Mus musculus: one gene and its partners. The protein of the gene in region 2 purifies or fractionates together with the protein of the main gene of each other region. This does not show direct contact. Links are inferred from orthologs where the notes say so. Each region holds a gene or a part of one and is shown on either strand. Other genes may lie near its edges.

Region 1 (4,886 bases), about 2.8 Mb from region 2:
TTTATTTGTTTATTTATAGAAACGGTCTCACTTTGTAGCCTGGCTGTCCTGAAATTTGGTATGTACATTGGGCAAGCCTCTAACTCACAAAGACTCACCCACCTCTTTCTTCAGAGTGCTAGAATCAAAGACATGAGCCACTATATGCAGCTTTTCTCCCTTTAAGATTGTATGTGGGCTGGAGAGATGACTCACATATCAAGAGCATATATGATGCTCTTCCAGAGGTCCTGAGTTCAATTCCCAACAACCACGTGGAAGCTCACAACCATCTGTAATGGGATCTGGTGCCCTCTTCTGGCCTGCAGGCATACATGCAGGCCGAACACTATCCATAATAAATAAACAAACAAATCTTAAAAAATAAAAGGTCGTGTGTGTGTGTGTGTGTGTGTGTGTGTGTGCGCGCGCGCGTGCGTGAGTGTGTAGCTATGCGTGTATGGCTGCCTGTGGAGGGCAGGGAAAGGCACTGACTCATAGGAAGCTAGAGTTACACATTGCTTTGACCCACCTGATATGGTTGTGGGGGATTGAACTTGGGTCCTTGAGAATAGCCAGTGCTCTTAATCTCTGAGCCATCTTTCCAGTCCTTATTTTATTTCAAGGATAGGTTCTTACTATATTATCTAGGCTAGCTTTTCTTGGGCTCAGGCAATCCTCCCATTACATATGCCTAAGACACACACACTTTTTTGGTGACTGGCTAACATGGGTGCTGGGGAATGAGCTTTCAAAGGGCAGTACATGTTCCTAACCACTGAGCCAGCTCTCCAACTGTAACACACACAGACTTTTTTGTGTATGGTGTGCTGGGGCTGAAACCCAGACTCCACATCTGCCTAGAATATACTCTGTCACTGAGCAACACCTTCAGCTCTATAATTTTCTCCTGTTCATTTTTCTTGTTACCCTCCTGTGTTATCAGTTTTCTGAGAGCAAGAGTTGTCCTTTGCAATCCTCTCAACACTCTATTCCTAGTACCTAGGACAATATCCAAATCACACATTAGGTTTTTGTCGTTGAATAATTAAGTGCATACATGCTCATTCATGTAGCAGAGGCTGGAGCTACAGTTGTGAGCAGAAACAGGCACGTTTCTTTGCCTGGTGGTGTTCACCATTTAGAAGGTGACACTAAACACCTCTAAGACTGTATAATGTCTAAGCCTGGTGAAGGGAATTGAATTTGGTACTGTGAAGGTCCCACTGCAGTGAGGAGATAGGCTTCATTGAAAGTGCATGTAAAAGATGAACTAACCATTCCAAAATTCTCCATCTCTGGTCTTTGATTCTTCCCCGAACCTTTCAGAATCCCAAGCTCTTAAGGAAAAACCGCACCGCTCGGGTCGTTGATCCCCTAATGCACTGACCTCTGAGCAGCTCACAAGTCCCCGGCGTGTAACCTGCTTGCTTACGGCAGCGGCGGAACCCGGTTCCTTTGGTCACCGAGTCCACCCTTTCCTGGGAAGCCATGGGAGGGCCCTAGGAGGGAGAGAAGCAATGACTCGCCCTAGTTACGCTTCGCAATCCGGACCTCTCATCACGAGCAACCTGGGAGTCTGAGAAGCTGGTGCCCGACCCCTCGGCTCCGGACAGCGCAGTGACCACAGTCCCTATCGTGACGGTCCGGGGAGGAGCGCTCACCTTAGGCGATGACCTGGGCGTGACAGAGCCCTCCGCACGGAGAAACTCCAAGGAGCTAGAGTGTCAGCGTCCTCACTAATCGCTCCTTGTTACCATGGTAACTAGCGACACGCCTCCACGCACGCGCATTAGCGTCTGGTCGGCCGCTGCTTCCCGGAAGTAACTGCGCCTGGGTCACGGCGCAAGCGCAAACTACGCGTGGTGCGGCGAGGGGCAAAGGCGCGCGTTCTCTGCTCTGCGCCCCGGGCGGAGAAGGCATCATGTCAGACAACGAGGACAAGTGAGCACGGGCCACGGAAGGAGGGAGGTCGTGGTGCGAGCAGGGCTCTTGGAGCACAGGCTAGCCCAGCTGCTGGGTTGGTGGGGCGAAGTCTTCAGAACTTCCTACCTCGCGGAGCAATGGGGACAGTGGTCAGAGAGTTCAGTCCGTGTGGCCCCTGTCCTCTGAGCGCTCTCTTTCTGGAAGGGAATGCCAGAGGTGTGTAGCTTGTGTAGTCGTGGAAGTAGGAAGGAAAAAGCAACCCAGAGAATGGCCTGGAAGGCTGGGAGCAGACGCGGGCTTGGGCTAGGTGTGATAGTAGCAGAGGTGGCAGAAGTGGGGATAGACTCTAGAGAGCATGAAGTTTAGTGTTGTTTGAGGCAAGGCCTCACTCTGAAACCCAGGCTGCCCGGGAATTCACTATATAGCTAAGGCTGGCTTTGAATTCGACACAGTCCTCTGCTTCAGCTTCCCAAGTGTTGATATATCTGGCATGAACCACCAGACCCAGCTGGATTATGGACATTTTTTTTTTTTTTTTCCGAGACAGGGTTTCTCTGTATAGCCCAGGCTGTCCTGGAACTCACTTTTGTAGATCAGGCTGAACTCAGGAATTCACCCACCTCTGCCTCCCCAAGTGCTGGGATTAAAGGCGTGCGCCACCACCACCCGGCTGGACATATTTTTATTTTATTTATTTGGAGACCAAATATAACCTTATATCAGGTGGTTCGAACATAGAGATTCATCTACCTCTGCTTTCCAGGTGATTTTTGTTCTTTTTTTTTTTTTTTTTTCCTGAGACAGAGTCTTTCAACATAGTCCTAGCTGTGTCTGGAAGTCACTGTGTAGATTTGGCTGTCCTCAAACTTACAGAGATCTGCCTGCTTTCACCTCCTGAGCACTGGATTACAGGCGTGCGCCACCATGCCTGGATCCTGATATATTTTAAAGATAGAACCTAAAGGATTTCTTGATACGCTGTATATGTTAATCAAGAGAGAAGATGAACTATGGTAGTCCTGATAGATCAGTCAGAATTCAGAGTCTGGGCGTGGTGGTTCACACCTGTAATCCTAGCACTTGGGAGGCTACTGCAGGGGAATTGTCCTGAACTAGATGTCAACATAGTGAGTCTCAGGCCAGCCTGAGTTACATACTGTGCAGTAAGATTGACTTCAAAACAAGCATACAAAATACAGTCAAAAATGCAATGAAAGCAGAGATGACGGCGTTGACCAGGGCAGTGATTGCCACCAGAGAAGAGATGGTGAGTGAGTGACTTGGGGGGAAGAGAACCCAGAAAAGCATCCCCTCCCCCAGAGTGGGAGGCAGGAGGGAGGAGCCAGGTATGCTGGCTGTCCAGGGGAAGGGTTCAGCATTGTAAAGATCCTTAGTGAAGCTGGGGGTGGTGCAAGCCTTTGATTCCAGCACTCAGGGCAGAGACTTGGGGGGGGGGGGGGGAATCTCTCAGTTCCAGGCCAGCCTTGTCTGCAGAGTGAGTTCCAGGCCAGCCTTGTCTGCAGAGTGAGTTCCAGGACAGCCAGGCAGCACAAAGAGACACTTTTCTTTTTTTTTTTTTTTTTTTTTTTAAAGATTTATTTATTTATTACATGTAAGTACACTGTAGCTGTCTTCAGACACACCAGAAGAGGGCGTCAGATTTCGTTACAGATGGTTGTGAGCCACCATGTGGTTGCTGGGATTTGAACTCTGGACCTTTGGAAGAACAGTCGGGTGCTCTTACCCACTGAGCCATCTCACCAGCCCCTTTTTTTTTTAAAGATTTATTTATTTACTATATGTAAGTACACTGTAGTTGTCTTCAGATACACCAGAAGAGGGCACCAGATCTCATTACGGGTGGTTGTGAGCCACCATGTGGTTGCTGGGATTTGAACTTCAGACCTTCGGAAGAGCAGTCGGGTGCCCTTACCCACTGAGCCATCTCACCAGCCCAAAGAGACACTTTTCAATGGGGAGGTTGTGGGGTGCGATGATCAGTGAGCACAGGAAGGATGGCTGTGGAGCTTGAGGGTGTGGCGAAAGCCTTACTGAGGTGAGGCTCTGACTCGGGAAGTGAAGAATTGGAGACAGCGAGTTTGGGCAGCTCCCTCAGACATTGTGCACCACGGGAGGCTGATGAGATGGAGGAGGGGCTAAAGGTGAAAGTTTTGCTGCCCGAGCCTAACAACCTAGGTTTGATCCCTAGAGCCCCTGGTAGAAGGAGAGAACAGAAAAGGGAGTCTTGGTGGTGTATGTGGGCCTGTACGCGAGCACGCATCATGTGCACGTTAGCAATAAATAAGCATGTTTTTAGAAGCCTGGTGACCTTAGGCTATGAAAATGGCAATGTCACCTTGGTCTTATGTAGTTTTGTTTGTTTGTTTGTTTGTTTGTTTTCTCCACCATAAGGGAATATGGAATTAAGCTGTAGCAGGAGGGGAAAGAATAATGGTGTGTTGTTTGTTTGTTTTTAAGAGGGGGAGGTGATGCTGGTAGTGTGCTGGTGCTGTGAGTGCCAGCGGCTTCATGCATGCTGTCTACACACCCTACTTTTGAGTTACAGCTCCAGCCCTGAAGTACACTTCACTTGTTTTTGTTCTTGAGACAAAATCTCACTATGTAGCCCAGGCTGGGCTCAAACTCCTAGTTCTCTCACTTCCCATTTCCAAATGCTAGGAGTACAGGAGTGTGCTACCACCCTGGCACGTTTATATTTCTCTCCTTATGTCCTTATGAGAGGCTGAAACTGTCTTCATGACGAGGGGGATGGCGCAGAGGTTAACCACACTTGGCTGGTTTCCCAGGGAGTAAAACCAGGCAGACAACTCCGGCTTCGGGGGCTCCCACACCCTCTTCTGGCTTCCAGGCGCACTTGTATGTGTGTACATTTACATACACAAACACACAGATAAAATAAACCTTAAACACACAGTCCCCGGACCAGAACAGTCCATGTGTACATGTAACTGGCGTGGTTC
Region 2 (4,713 bases):
GCTGATGTGTCACTGTGTGTCATTTCCAGGATTCCATTCCCAACACCCACATGGTGGCTCACAATTCAATGGTCCTGGGGATCAGAGGTTCTCTTCTGATTCTCTCTCTCTCTCTCTCTCTCTCTCTCTCTCTCTCTCTCACACACACACACACACACACACACACACAGATGCAGGCAAAACACTTCATATACATAGAAATGTAAAACAAGTTACTTACTGATATTATGAAGATCATTGCTAATCAATTCTTACCTCTCCTGTCAATTCCCTGAAATACTTTGTTTCTAGAAAGGCACACTGTTGTCTTACATGTGTTATGAGACTGGGTTTCTCTGTGTAGCCCTGTCTGTCCTGCAGCTTGCTTTGTAGACCAGGCTGGCCTCAAATTCGAATTCAGAGAGATCCTCCTGCCTCTGCATTCTAATTGTTTGGATGAAAGGTGTGTGCCATCAACGCCCAGCCCAAAATGCCTTATTTTTTTTCTCCTCATTTTTTTTTTGGGTGGGGGAGGGAGTGTGTTCTGTATAGCCTTGACTATCTTGTACTCTCTTGGTAGACCAGGTTTGTCTTAACTCTCAGAAATTTGACAGTCTCTGCCCCTCCCAACTGCTGGGATTAAAAGTGTGCAGCAAGAAAATTTTTCTATTTTGTTTTTTTGAGACAGGATTATTCTGTTCAGTCCTGGTTGTCCAGAAACTTGCTCTGTAGACTGGGCTGGCCTCAAACTCTGAGATCCGTTTGCCTCTGCCTCCCAAGTGCTAGGATTAAAGACGTGTGTCACCATCATTGTTAGGCACCCCCCTTTTTCTTTTTAGAAAGAGTCTCAAACAAACAAAAAGTCTTTTGTACCTCAGGCTAGACTTGAATTCACTATGTAGCTGATCTGTGTTTTTTGTTTTTTGTTTCTTTTTGGTTTTTCGAGACAGAGTTTTTCTGTGTAGCCCTGGCTGTCCTGGAACTCACTCTGTAGACCAAGCTGGCCTCGAATTCAGAAATTCGCCTGCCTCTGCCTCCCAAATGCTGGGATTAAAGGCGTGCGCCAGCACTGCCCGGCCACAGGATCTCATTTGGTAACTCAGGCTGGTCTTGAACTTGCAGTGATTGTCCAGCCTCACCCTCTCTTGCGCTGGTATTACAAGCGTGAGTCTGTTTCAGCTGTTTAAGCTTTGTGTGCTGAGCTTTGGTGAGCATATCCATCAAATGCACCACTTAAAATGACATCATCCAGGAAGGCCCGGCGACCCTTTTCTGCCCACTCTCTTGGGTACTTTGTCTGGAGTAAAGACTATTTTGAACGTGTTAAATTTGTATTTTCAAAGGGTCTATCTGGCTGTTGTGCAAAAGAAAGACAATCAGGCTTGAAGTGCAGACTTGTCGCCTAGCAACCAGACTCTCTCAGGGGCCCGGGGTTGGCTTGCTTCAGGATGGGGCCCCGCCCTTTCGGCACTCTACCCCGCCCCTCTTCTCTCACTTGCGGGAGAGTGCTGGCGGCCCCGCCCACCTTCCGGCCCCGCCCCTCACGGGAGCCTCGCGAAGCTCTGCGACCCGCAGGGGCGGGCAGATGCTTCTTATTGGTCAGTTTTCCGGAAGCTGAGTTGATTTGGTTTGGCAAGCGCAGCGTTGCTGGACGCGCGTGGCTCCCGCGCGTGGTGCGGACGGAACGAGGCCAGGGTGGCATCCGGGGACGGGGAGCCGGCGCTCCTCCAAGGCTGGCGGGAGCGGGCCTCAGTTTCCTCCGGGAGACGAGCGTAGCTTCCAGAATTGGAGCCCAGGCCCTCCCGCGCAGCTCGGCTGCAGGTTTGGCTTGTCAGAGGCTGAGAAGGGACGGAGGAGGCTCGGGTCCCCCCCACCCCATCACAGCTCGCAGGCCCCCGTGCTTGGCAGCCTCTCCGGTCTCCAGAGCCCTAGCGCAGGATGTTCGTGCTGGTGGAGATGGTGGACACCGTGCGCATACCCCCGTGGCAGTTTGAGCGGAAACTCAACGATTCCATTGCTGAGGAGCTGAACAAGAAATTGGCCAACAAGGTACTGGGCCCTCGGGCTGCCCGGCAGTGTCCCTACCGGTCCCACTGCTAGTCTGGCTATCGCCTGGTTCACCCTTGGCCTTGCACACTTAACTTCATGTCGGGGTTTTTTTCCTTCGCATCCTTATAAACCAGACTTGGGTGACAACGTGTACACAAGGGAGTAAATGGGCCGGGCGAGGTAGTGCACACCCGTAATCCGAGCTTCTTGGCTATTGAGGCTTTTTGACGATCCTGTGTTCGAGGCCAGCGTGGGCAATATAGTTAGCCCTTGACTCAGACAAATTAAAAGCACCGAAGCTGCTGGCGGTAGCGCATGCCTTTAATCCCATAACTCAGGAGGCAGAAGCAGGCGGATTTCTGTGAATTCGAGGCCAGCCTGGTCTACAGAGGGAGTGCTAGAACAGCCAAGGCTACAACGGAGAAACCCTGCCTCAAAAGAAACAAAAAGCATCAGGATGCTGAACAGTGCTTGAATTTGCTTGACATTCGCGGAGTCACTGGTTCGGTTCTCAGGATTGCCAGAAAACAAAACGGAGAGAGCGTGTGTACAAAATGGGTTTGTAAAACAGAAACTGGAATATGCCTGTTTCCTCGTTCAATTACTGTGTTGTCTTGGCCAAGTCACCCTCTCTGGGCCTCGGTTTGTGTTATCTGTGTTGCCCACAGTGTGAGAGTAGAGGTGAGAGGATAAGCGTGCGGGTCTCTAGAATTGAACTCAGCTTTCAGCTTTAGAGGGAGGCAGCTGTACCGGCTGAGCCAGCTCAGTAGCCCCTTTCTTGTATTCATTTGGTTACTGTGTTTCCCTTTCTATGACTACAGGGGCCTTCTCGGACTTTCACTCTCTCCAATGGGAGACACAGGCTCTGCCCTTGTAGCCTAGTGAGAAGAAGTTGGCTTGAGAATGTCTTGTTGTAATGAGCTGGGGTAAATGCCATGAAGGACAGGCATTCACAGAGTGGGGAACAGGGGAGTGTCACCCGGGATGAAAGAGATGGGTGACTTCTGAGGAAACAGCCATTGCTCTGAGAGCTGATGGTGGGAAGACACCAAGTAATGCCTCGGACAGGCCTTTCTGTGAACTTTTCACTTTGGGACTGTGTCCAGGCTTTTGGGCCTGTCAAGCGGGTCACTACTGGAATGGATGTAGCAAAGTAGAGAGACTCTGTTTCGATGGTTGGAGTAGGTTGGGTGTAGAGCTGTGGAGGCAGTGCATTTAGCATGTGCAAAGGTCCTGAGGCAGGAGAGGCACAGAATGCTGGTGTAGCTGGAACGGAAATGTAGACGGAAGCCAGACCACAGAGCCCTGGAGGGCCTTATAGTCCAAGCTGTTCTTTACGGGTCGGTAGGATGTGATCTTCAGAGAGCCAGAAAGAAAGAGCGAGTTTGGCTTTTACAGGAGACAGGTAGTCCCTTATAGGAGACTGAGGCCCTAGGAGAAGGTACACACACAGATCTGAGGCTTGTCACATGGAGGAGGAGAGAGCTCACTGACAATCCTTTAATTTTTTTTGAGACAATCTCACTATGTAGCCTTGGCTGGCCTGGAACTTGCTATAGTCTACGTTGCCCTTCCAATCCCAGAGAACCATCTGCCTCTGCCACCCAGGTGCTAGGATTGAAGGTGCGTGTCACACCCAGTCTTAGTTGCTGCACTAGTGCTGTGAGGAAATACCATGAGCAAGGTGACAAGAGAAAGCATTTTACTGGGGGCTTACTGTTGCGGAGGTTGTCCTTCAGCATTGTGGTGGAAGCGTGCTGGCACACGTGGTGTTGGAGTAGGATCTGAGAGCTATGTCCTCCACTGCCAAGGGAGTAACGCTCGCCTGCTGTGGGTCTGTGAAACCTTAAAGCCCACTCCCACTGACACAAGAAGGCCATACCTTCTTTCTAATCTTTCTCAAGTTGTGTCCCTCTCCGATGACTTAAGCATTCACATTTATGGGCCTGTGGAGGTCACACTTAGTCAGCCATGACATCCAGGTCTGTCTGTCTGTGTCTGTCTGTCTGTCTTGTCTTTCTTTTTTTCTTTCTTTCATTACATGGATTTATTTTGAATGTGGGTGTATATACCACAGCACACATGAATAGGCCACGGCACAGCTCATAAGGAGAAAGGGGTCCTGGGATCTACCTTGACTGCTGAACCATTTTGCCAATACCATCTCCCCACATCTCATGGGACTTGAATTCACTTTACATCCACTGTGTAACCAAAGATGGCTTTGGACTTCGGATACCCCTGCCTCCCCCTCTCAGCTGCAGGGATTACAGGCAGAGATCACCATGCCCGGGTGAGGTCAGTTCACTGGATCCTGAGAGAGAAACCTCCACAGATGACGACTGCTGGGAGCTCTGCCCCAGCTCTGAAGTGCTCTAGTCCCTGAGCAGCTCTTGTGAGGGCTGTGGCTAGGGGTAATATTGGTGGTAGACATGTAGACACTGAGCCAAGTCATTTAGAACACCAGGGTGTGTTAACACCAAGCTGTGTGGGCTTCTGGTCTGCGGAAGTGCTTTGGCCACATATCCCTGTCTGTGTGTCTGAGGCGGTGTGAGAGTGATGGAGTTCTCAACACTTCCTGGCTGTGATCTGGGGCACAGACTTTGGGACACTGGGATGTGTAACTTTTTTTAAAGAAAGATTTATTTATTTATTTATTTATTATATGTAAGTACACTGTAGCTG
Region 3 (4,663 bases), on a different chromosome or scaffold from region 2:
GTCCAGCTGGAAGGTACCAAGGAAAGTGGGGGCATCGGATGGGTATTAAGGGTTTGGAAAGCTCACCGAGGGTCTTAGAGGACTCAAATGGTGGACGCCACCAAGTACAGATACAAAAAGTCACGTTCCTGGGAAAGGAGGAGAAACAGCCGGAGGGAAATCACCCACTTTTATTAGCTATTGATGTGTGCCGAGAGATGTGCATACATACATCATCTCCAACCCTCACAACTCAATGAGGGGGGAACTATTGTCTTCCTGCAACAAATGATAATGAGGTTAAGCAAGTTCCCCCAAAGCGCTACAGCTATGTTTTTATACTATTCCAAAAACGGAGTATGTGTCATCCACATGCAACTTCCCAGTCTAGAGGCCATTTTCTCTGACCTCTGTCATATTCTTGTTGACTGACTCCTAGTTTTACATCCATCCTGAAGTATTTCCCTTTACTTCTACTCTGTAAAAAAAATGACTCTTTCTATTCTGCCCTCTTTCCTTGAAGGGGCTTGAAGGGCAGTGGAAAGTACAGAAAGAAAAAACCCACTGGGTTCCTGCCTTCTCTCCCCAATTACTGCTCTGGTCCCAAGCCCCCTTCTCTCCCTCACTTCTCAGACACCGCAACAATCCGCATTTGGGGCCTGAGCTTGGTAGCAGAGTCAAGAGTATCAAGAGTTCAAGGCCAGCCTAGACTGGGTAGCCAGACCCTGCCTTTAGAGAAAAAAAATCTTTTAAAGATTATTTATTAGTAGTGCTGGTGACTGAGGAAGAATAATAAAGAGGGTGTGTGTGGTATGTGTGTGTGTGTGTGTGTGGTGTGTGTGGTGTGTATGTGATGGCCTAAGCCAGAAGAGGGCGCGGGAGTCCGGTAGTTGGGAACCTCCTGGAGTGTTTCTCTGTGTGTGTGTGTGTGTGTGTGTGATGTGTGGTGTGTGTGTGTGTGTGTGTGTGTGTGTGTGTGTGTGTGTGATGTGTGGTGTGTGTGTGTGTGTGTGTGTGTGTGTGTGTGTGTGTGTGATGTGTGGTGTGTGTGTGTGTGATGTGTGGTGTGTGTGTGGTGTGTGTGTGGTGTGTGTGTGTGTGTGTGTGTGTGTGTGGTGTGTGTGTGTGTGTGGTGTGTGTGTGTGTGTGTGTGTGTGTGTGTGTGTGTGTGGTGTGTGTGTGTGTGTGTGTGTGTGTGGTGTGTGTGTGGTGTGTGTGTGTGTGTGTGTGTGTGTGTGTGTGTGTGTGTGTGTGTGTGATGGCCTAAGCCAGAAGAGGGCGCTGGAGTCCGGTAGTTGGGAACCTCCTGGAGTGTTTCTGGGAACTCCTGCAGGCACAGCTGTTAACAGATGAGCAGTCTGGTTTCTCTGACCCAGGGCTACATTTCCCAGCAGCGGTTCTCCTCTTCTGGCTCCGCCACGTGTCTGGATGAGCTCTGAGTAGCAGGACATCTTAGCCATCTAGTTCGGTCTGGGCATAAGAGGTGAATTCTGCAGCCCCAGGTCTCAGCGCGCCACTTCCCAAGCCTCAGTTCCGGTTAAGCTCGCTCCCTCCTCCTCCCCTCCTCGCCCGCCTCCGCTCTCGTCGATTGGCCAGGAAAACCCACCAATGGAGAGCTCGGGGAGGCGGGCCTAGAACGAGGGCTGGAAGAAGAAAAGCAAATTTCAAGTTGGCGGCTGCGTGGGCCCTGAGTGGGGGAGGGACGGCAGGTAAGGCTTCGACCTGGTGGCTCTGACCCGGTTTGGTTCGGTACTTCCCGAATTAGTCCCTCGGCGCCGACAGCGACGTAGATAACGCTTTCTGTCAGCCTGTTGGATCAGCCCCCTTCTAAATCCCTCCCCTTTTTCCCCGGGCTCTCACTGCTGTCTTGACTGTACGCCGGAGACAGCTTGCTGTCGCGCCTGGGGACAGATATTAAAGCAGGAGAGGAAGGTTCATTCTTGTAGCTCAGACTCTTCTATGGTACCAGCTTCTCCCGCACCCATTAACGTAACATTAGCCCCCTGTCAAGAGCCTGACAGATTCTTATTACCTATCAAGTCAACTGAACCGCTACCCTCTACCCACCACTTTCCTAGACCACCGTGAAGAATTTATTGATCCCCGACCTGACAAAGTCCGATTATCACTATTGGAATCTCTTTAATTTTTAAAATTACATTATTTGTGTGTGTGTGGGGGGGGTACGTACAAGCCATGGCTTACGCAAGGAGGTCAGAGGACAACTTGAGCTAGTCAGCCTGTTTCCTGGCCACTTGGCAACACGAGTATTTACCATCTCACGAGGCTGACTTTTTCCATCCCTCCCATGCTTTTATCGGCAGACTCTTGCTATGTAGCCCATACTGGCCTCCAGTTTGCATTCCCCCTGCCACAGTACCCCCGGTGTTAGGATTATATGTTCTCTTTCACTGTTTCTATTCTATGAACGGAAGGTTTGATGGGACAGATTGGGGTACTTAATACATTGTGTTCAGTAAGCGTTAATCGAGTGGAATTGATTTGTGGGAACCAGTGCTCTTGTCAAGGAGGACAAATTTAAACTCCTGATATAATTAGGGAACAATAAAAGACAACATTATATAATTAGGGGTCTTTGAACTGGTGGTTTATTGCATTAATGTTTTATAGTTATTCTCAGACCAGAGAAGGAAAACAACAAAAAGAACCAGAAGGGAGTCTTTGTGACTCACAGAGTCTGTAGACACATGTTCAAAAGACAGATATTTACTGAGAACCTACTACATAGCAGACACAGTGCTAGACAACCGGGATCACAATGAACCCTCTGATAACATCTATTCAATAAATTGTTATTTAGTATGTGGGAAAATATTTTCGAAACCAGTTCTTTCTATGCAGGGCAAACAGGCTGACCTCCAACTTATGACCCTCCTGCCTCACCCTTTCTGGGATAACAGGCTTGTACCACTGCACCCCAAATAAGCTTTTTTCTTTTAAATTGAGAAATGTGAGTCCGGTCTTACAAATGCTAAGCATTCATTCTGCCCCTGAACTACACCCCTAGCTCTGAAACAGCATCTTTAGGAAGAGAACTCACTAGCTCTTTTCAGGTCGGTCCACTCTTTCACTTTTTCCTTTGAATTTATTCAACTTAAACTTACTTATTATTAGTGGGCCTGGGTGGAGTGTGTACCATGGTGCATATGTGGAGGTCAGGCTGGCCCCAAACTCACCATGGAACCAAAGATGAATTGAAATTTCTGAATGACAGGCTTGGCCCAAGGCTTTCTGCTAAGCGAGTGTGTTGTTGCTGTTGTTGTTGTTGTGAGGGTTTGCTTATTTTCTTTAACTGGGGATTGAATTGAGGCCCTAGTGATTTGCTAAGTAGGGTTCCACCACTGAGCTATAGCACCCACTCGTCCTCTGAATTCTTGTGTGTGGGTGGGCGTTTGGTCTGCATGTGAGTCTTTGTACCACTTGTGTGCTTGAAACCCTCAGAAGGCAGAAAAGGGTGTTGGGTTCCCTGGGACGGGTTACAGACAGCTGTGAGTCCCTGTGTGGGTCCCGGGGAATCGAATCCCAAGTCCTCTGGGAGAGCAGCCAGTGCTCTGAGCCACTGAACCATTCTCCAGATTTCCCCTGCATTCTTGAAAACGAAGCATCCTTTTTACTTGTTGATTGTAGGATATACATTTATTCCACACAACTTTCAAACACATAGTAATATAAGAGTGTGCATTATTTCATAGCCCTAAGGTAATAATGATGGTAATTAGTATTTTACAACTTTAAACTTTATTGTTATTTTATGTACTTGCACACTGGTGCCACCGCATGCATGTCAGCGTCAGAGGACAGCTTTGTAAGGTTATGTCTCCCTTGCACCTTAGTTGGTTCCAGGGATGGGACTCAGGTTCTTGGACTGGCACTGACTTTATCTGCTGAGCCATCTTGCCTGCCCCTGATACTAGTATTTAGACATATGTACTCTCAGTTTATTCTGTATATATGCAAAACTTTTTGTTTTATAAGTAAATAGAGCCACACTATAAATTCAATTTTGTATCAAGAATGAAAACATTAAAAAAACAACAACAACAGATAAATATGACTTTATATTGTAGTCTCCTTCACCCCTAAACACTCCATATTATTAACCTCCTCCCTTGAAAATGGCTTGTTTGGGGGTTTTTGTTATTTGTTCTGGATGTTGTTGTTGTTGTTGGGTTTTGCTTTTTTGTTTTGTTTTTTAAAGATGCACTTATTATATTTATGTGAGCTCACTGTAGCTGTTTTTCAGACACCCGAAGAGGGCATCAGATCCCATTACAGATGGTTGTGAGCCACCATGTGGTTGCTGGGAGTTGAACTCAGGACCTCTGGAAGAGCAGTCAGTGCTCTTAACCACTGAGGCATCTCTCCACCTTTGTTTTGGTTTGGTTTTTGGTTTTTCTAGACAGTCTGTTTCTCTGTGTAGCCTTGGCTGTCCTGGAACTCACTCTGTAGACCAGGCTGGCCTCAAACTCTAGATTTCTGCCTGCTTCTGCCTCCTGAGTGCTGGGATTAAAACCAGGCTGTTTTTGGTTTGTGGTTTTTATCATCTATTATTAGACCACTTATATCATTTCAGAATTTGTTGTTTGAAACAAGGTTTCACTATGTAGTAGCCCAGGCTGACCTGGAACTCCATAGATACCTCAGACTGACCACTTTCTGCCTT
Region 4 (4,721 bases), on a different chromosome or scaffold from region 2:
GACACAGAAACTTAGTCGGCCTTCTCTTAAGAGTGTATTCAAAGCCAGGAATGGCGGTGCACACTTTTAATCCCAACCCTAGGAAGGCAGAAGCAGACAGACCTCTGTGAGCTCTAGGCCAGCCTGATCCGAATAAGCAAGTTCCAGGACAGCCAGGACAACATGGTGAGACTTTGGTGCAAAAAGCAAACAAAAAACAGAAAGACACCATGTATTCAAGATACTGTGATTATAAAATAAATTATGACATAGCCACTCGTTTTAAGAAATGTCGCCACCGAACAAGAAAAAGGCTTATTATAATTGGGGGCGCTGGCACTGGCTAGCATGCTGCAGAAACCTTTTCTTAAAGCATAGCCCTACCTCTCTATTGGCTGACAGCCTGGCAGAGCCAATTTTATATCAGAGAAAGCAGTCCCAACATTCTGTTCTTTTTTTGTTTTCCTGGGCAGAAAAAAAAAAAAAATGGAGGGGGTGGGCTAGGAAAGTGGAGCTAAAGACACTGGCAACGTGATATCCAAAATAAGTTGAGACAGTACGTCCTACCTTCTTCCCAAAGCCATTTCCTTCGATAGCAACAGGGAGCGCAGTCTGCAAGTCATTGGTACACTGCTATTTTCACTTTCACAAGAACCCAAAAACCACTGAAGAACAAAATCTCCCTCTTCCCTGTTACCTTCCAAACCTCCTCTTTCTGTACTTCAACAAAACCTACTAAGAAGTCCTCAGCAATATGCTATTTCGGCTCACTGAGGATGCAGAAGGGGGGAGGATCTGGTTGAGAAGTGGGAAGAAAAATAAAGAGTAGGTGAGCCGCAAAAACGGAAAGAGTACAGGGGATAGGTCATCGCGAAAAGACAAGGAAGGGGACTGAGAGCAAATTGGACGCAGATTTGCCCGAGAATTCACCGAGGAGACAAAAAAAGATGGGGGTGGTATTAAAGAGCGGAAGCGAAATGAGGGGCTGATTGGAGACGCCGCGGAAATGAGGGATAGGCAGGACCCTGGCCCTGATGCCCAGGGTTTGCGACCAGTGCCCGGAGACAGCGGGCAGCAGGTACCGAGAACACCGGTGTCAAGGGAATCACGGGTGTGCGGGCAGCCTAAGACCCGGTTTCCAGCCCTAGGAGCCAAGGACCTACGCGGCGCCGGAGCGCGGGACACACGGGGCTCTTACCGGTAGTTTGGGATTGACCTCGCCCTTACAAAAGTGGCAGAAGAAACGGTGTGCGGCGACAGCGGAGCCCGCGTCCGCCCCCGCCGCCGAGGCCTCCGCCATGTTTCGCCTCCGCCGAGGATGTCCGAAAGGGCGGCCGGCGGTCCCTCCCCAGGCCGCTACCTCCCGTGCTGCGGTCGCCACCGCCGTCGCCGCCTCCTCTGGGCGGCCCGCCGCTCCGAGGCCCGCAAGGGTCACGTGAGTCCGCCCGGCCCCGAGAGGCCCGCCCGCCAGCGGCCACGCGACCCGAGGCCCGCCTCCCGGCACCAAAGGCAGAGGAGAGCCCGCCCGCCGGCACCTCAGACAGCCCCTGGCCGGTCCTCCAGCCTCCCAACGAGAGGAGAGAAAGAGCGTCCCCGGAAACCACCGACACTGTCGGCTAGAGCGGCCCGTGCTCTGACCCTTCCGCGTCCGCCTGGATGGTGCTCTACTTCTAAGAAGGGGCGATGGGAAGCTCATGAGCTGAGGCTGCTGGCCTCGGGAGGACAACATTTGGAGCTTCTAAATTAGCCCCGACCCTGAGGTTAGTGAAAACGCTGCCGGAATGAGGAGGCCCTGACTCAGGGCCAAGAAACAAAGTCCGGAACAGAAACTTGCATGAAGGGAGAGGAGCCAGGAAATGCATTCAAGGATGGCAACTGGTCTAAGGATGTTTCTCCAAAGACGTGTGTGTGGCTAAGTGAAATAGTCTTCTCTGCGACACTGTGGCAAGAGGGACAAAAATTTAGGTTCGAGAGAGTTGGAGCTTGTGATAGGGAGGTAATTTCAAAATCAACTACACCCATTCCTGCTTGTGTCTCATGATGTAAAAATTTAATATGGTTCTCAATGGAACATAACTTCATCTCCTAATTGAAATACCCTAAGAAGCTCTTTTTTTACTTTATCTATCTAAGTCGTGGTTTATGGCTTGGGAATAAGTTGTACCCCACTGGGTCATGAGCCTTAGGTCTTTGTATCTGTGACAGAAAGTTATTCGCACTTTCCCTCCCCCTTTGCTTTTAAAGGTCTCACTCTGGACCAGATTTGCTTGGTATTTATTATGTAGCCCAGGCTGGCCTTCAGTTTATGACAGTCTTCTAGCTTTAGTGCTGGAAATACAGATGTTAGCCACCATACCGAGATGAATCCAGTCTTTAAAGATTATTGGAACCACAAACCACATATATTCCCATTAAAATAAATGGCATATATAGGGGAGGATGGCTTGCCTTTTTTTTTTTTTTTTTTTTAATTTTAATAGGATCTCATGTAGCCAACCTGGTTTTGAACTCAATATGTAACCATGAGCTCCTGACCCTCATACTTCCACCTCCTAAGTGCTGAAATTGTAGGCTTGCACCACCATACCTGGCTTTAGAAAACAAATTTGATGTCTAGTTTTCTAGTTCTTTGTTTTGGTGGGTGGTGGGTGTATTACCCACCAGAGTCTTGCTGTATAACACAGGCTGGCTTTGAACTCACTTTGTGCCCAGGTTGACCTGGAACTATTGATTCTTTGACTTTGGTCTCCTGTGTGCAAGAATTACAGGCAGTGTACACCATCATATCTGACCATTGCAATTACTAAATGACAACACATTAGGAATATTTTATGGTAGTTATATTGTATGAAGTCATTTTAAATGTTGGCATAGTATACTCTCTTAAGGTTATACTATAATTTATTGATAGATGCTAGATTATTTATGTCAATGCCAGTATTGTGAAGAGAACTCATGGCATGGTTTTTACTACATCCTTGGAACAAAGGATCTCAACTTATAAATATTAAGGCAAATATATGCCTTAATATATAGAGGGTTTGATTTATATTGTCAAGTTGCCCTCTAGAAAAAAAATATGTGAATTTATATTGTTGTTCTTTCCTAGTTCTGAGGCTCTAAGAACGATGACTCAAGCAGAGATTAAACTGTGTTCTTTGTTGCTGCAAGAGCATTTTGGTGAGATTGTAGAAAAAATTGGAGTCCACCTAGTCAGAACTGGAAGCCAGCCACTTAGAGTAATTGCCCACGACACAAAAGCATCCCTGGACCAGGTATGTTTAGATAAGAGAGTCTGTTCCTCTTCAACTTCTTCAATCATTTCCTTCAAGTACCTTTGGACAGGAGAACTCCTTCCCCTAGAAAGTATGAACAGAGACCGTCTGCCCTGTGGTCAGTACCACAGTGGGTGGGGTGGGGTGTGGTATTGTACTTAGGCCCCGTGTACTGCCGCTTGTGGTGTTCCTAGCTCATCTTGGCTGTTCCCATGCCACACTCATTTATTCACAGTAAGTCTACTGGTGGGGTATGGCCTTTAAGGAATACAGTGATAGAACAAAGTAAGCTGGGCTGCCCATCCTGGCCCAGAATGTAGCTCAGTTGGTAGAGTGACTACATTGTAGTGACAGTTTGAGGATTTTGGTTTCTTTAAAAATACAAAAATAGAGCCGGGCGTGGTGGCGCACGCCTTTAATCCCAGCACTCGGGAGGCAGAGGCAGGTGGATTTCCGAGTTCGAGGCCAGCCTGGTCTACAGAGTGAGTTCCAGGACAGCCAGGGCTGCACAGAGAAACCCTGTCTCAAAAAAACAAACAAACAAAAAATACAAAAATATTATAAGAATATTTTTTCATTTTAATCCCAAGTATGCAGATATGGGGCTGCTTCAGACTGTCTATGATTTGCCTCATGTTCTAGCAGAGGCATGGTTCTGCCAGCTATAGATAGTTCCTGTGATTGTGCAGTGTCTGGGATTCTGGGAACTTTTCAGAGTGTGTATAAATGCCAGCCCCAATATGTGGAGTCGGGGGGTTGGTGGTCATTTAGGGAAGTTGTGATTTACTAGTAGTGTTGGTCAAAGAAGAAACGAAAGAAATTAAATTCAGGGATTTTCCTAATTCCTCCTTGTTTCTCTCTTATGAAGTGTTAGAGGGTGAAACCCGGGTGGGGATGGGAGTGGGAAGGGAGTATCAAGGGTGGGAAAAAGAAGAACCCACAAAGTAGCAAAGACCATTCACACTGCATAGCAGCTAAAATGTCCTGCTTTGATCTCCAACACTGTATAGAACTGGGTGTGTTTATGTTTATGATCCCACGACTTGAAAGGAGGGGCTGGGAAGTTCAAGGTCACCCTCAGATACACAACAAGTGTAAGGCTTCCCTGGGCTCCAGGAGAACCACATTCAAAACAGAAAACTAGAAGAAAGATAAAGATCAGACAAAATAAGCCGGGCGTGGTGGCACACAGGCCTTTAATCCCAGCACTTGGGAGGTAGAAGCAGGCGGATTTCTGAGTTCGAGGCCAGCTTGGTCTACAGAGTGAGTTCCAGGACAGCCAGGGCTACACAGAGAAACCCTGTCTCGAAAAACCAAAAAAAAAAAAAAAAAAAAAAAAATCAGACATAATAGGAACATCACAGCAAAGAATTCTCTTGATTTCCTGCACTGACATTGGCTACACTAACCCACAGAGGAAGTAAGATTCTATATGCAGTCAAGTCAAATTCAGTCCCTGCCCTGTCA

Evidence for each region.
Region 1: the proteins of Polr3h (region 2) and Polr2f purify together in Homo sapiens (affinity purification with mass spectrometry; 4 studies listed by BioGRID and IntAct, with this or other methods). This does not show direct contact. The link is inferred for Mus musculus from reciprocal best matches to the Homo sapiens genes POLR3H and POLR2F.
Region 3: the proteins of Polr3h (region 2) and Polr3gl purify together in Homo sapiens (co-immunoprecipitation; 4 studies listed by BioGRID and IntAct, counting the BioPlex papers as one, with this or other methods). This does not show direct contact. The link is inferred for Mus musculus from reciprocal best matches to the Homo sapiens genes POLR3H and POLR3GL.
Region 4: the proteins of Polr3h (region 2) and Polr3c purify together in Homo sapiens (affinity purification with mass spectrometry; 5 studies listed by BioGRID and IntAct, with this or other methods). This does not show direct contact. The link is inferred for Mus musculus from reciprocal best matches to the Homo sapiens genes POLR3H and POLR3C.

The regions. Positions count from the first base shown.
Region 1 is NC_000081.6:79,139,512-79,144,397, forward strand, and holds the start of Polr2f (DNA-directed RNA polymerases I, II, and III subunit RPABC2), read left to right. Parts: upstream 1-1,813; 5' UTR 1,814-1,903; coding exon 1,904-1,923; intron 1,924-4,886. Other genes in the region: 1700088E04Rik (UPF0193 protein EVG1 homolog), read right to left, coding at 1,370-1,472. UniProt on the Homo sapiens protein: DNA-dependent RNA polymerase catalyzes the transcription of DNA into RNA using the four ribonucleoside triphosphates as substrates.
Region 2 is NC_000081.6:81,923,101-81,927,813, reverse strand, and holds the start of Polr3h (DNA-directed RNA polymerase III subunit RPC8), read left to right. Parts: upstream 1-1,600; 5' UTR 1,601-1,917; coding exon 1,918-2,028; intron 2,029-4,713.
Region 3 is NC_000069.6:96,591,109-96,595,771, reverse strand, and holds the start of Polr3gl (DNA-directed RNA polymerase III subunit RPC7-like), read left to right. Parts: upstream 1-1,590; 5' UTR 1,591-1,688; intron 1,689-4,663. UniProt on the Homo sapiens protein: DNA-dependent RNA polymerase catalyzes the transcription of DNA into RNA using the four ribonucleoside triphosphates as substrates. Specific peripheric component of RNA polymerase III which synthesizes small RNAs, such as 5S rRNA and tRNAs.
Region 4 is NC_000069.6:96,724,367-96,729,087, reverse strand, and holds the start of Polr3c (DNA-directed RNA polymerase III subunit RPC3), read left to right. Parts: upstream 1-1,648; 5' UTR 1,649-1,739; exon of another isoform or gene 1,740-1,975; intron 1,976-3,088; 5' UTR 3,089-3,107; coding exon 3,108-3,254; intron 3,255-4,687; exon of another isoform or gene 4,688-4,721. Other genes in the region: E3 ubiquitin-protein ligase RNF115, read right to left, coding at 1,178-1,279. UniProt on the Homo sapiens protein: DNA-dependent RNA polymerase catalyzes the transcription of DNA into RNA using the four ribonucleoside triphosphates as substrates.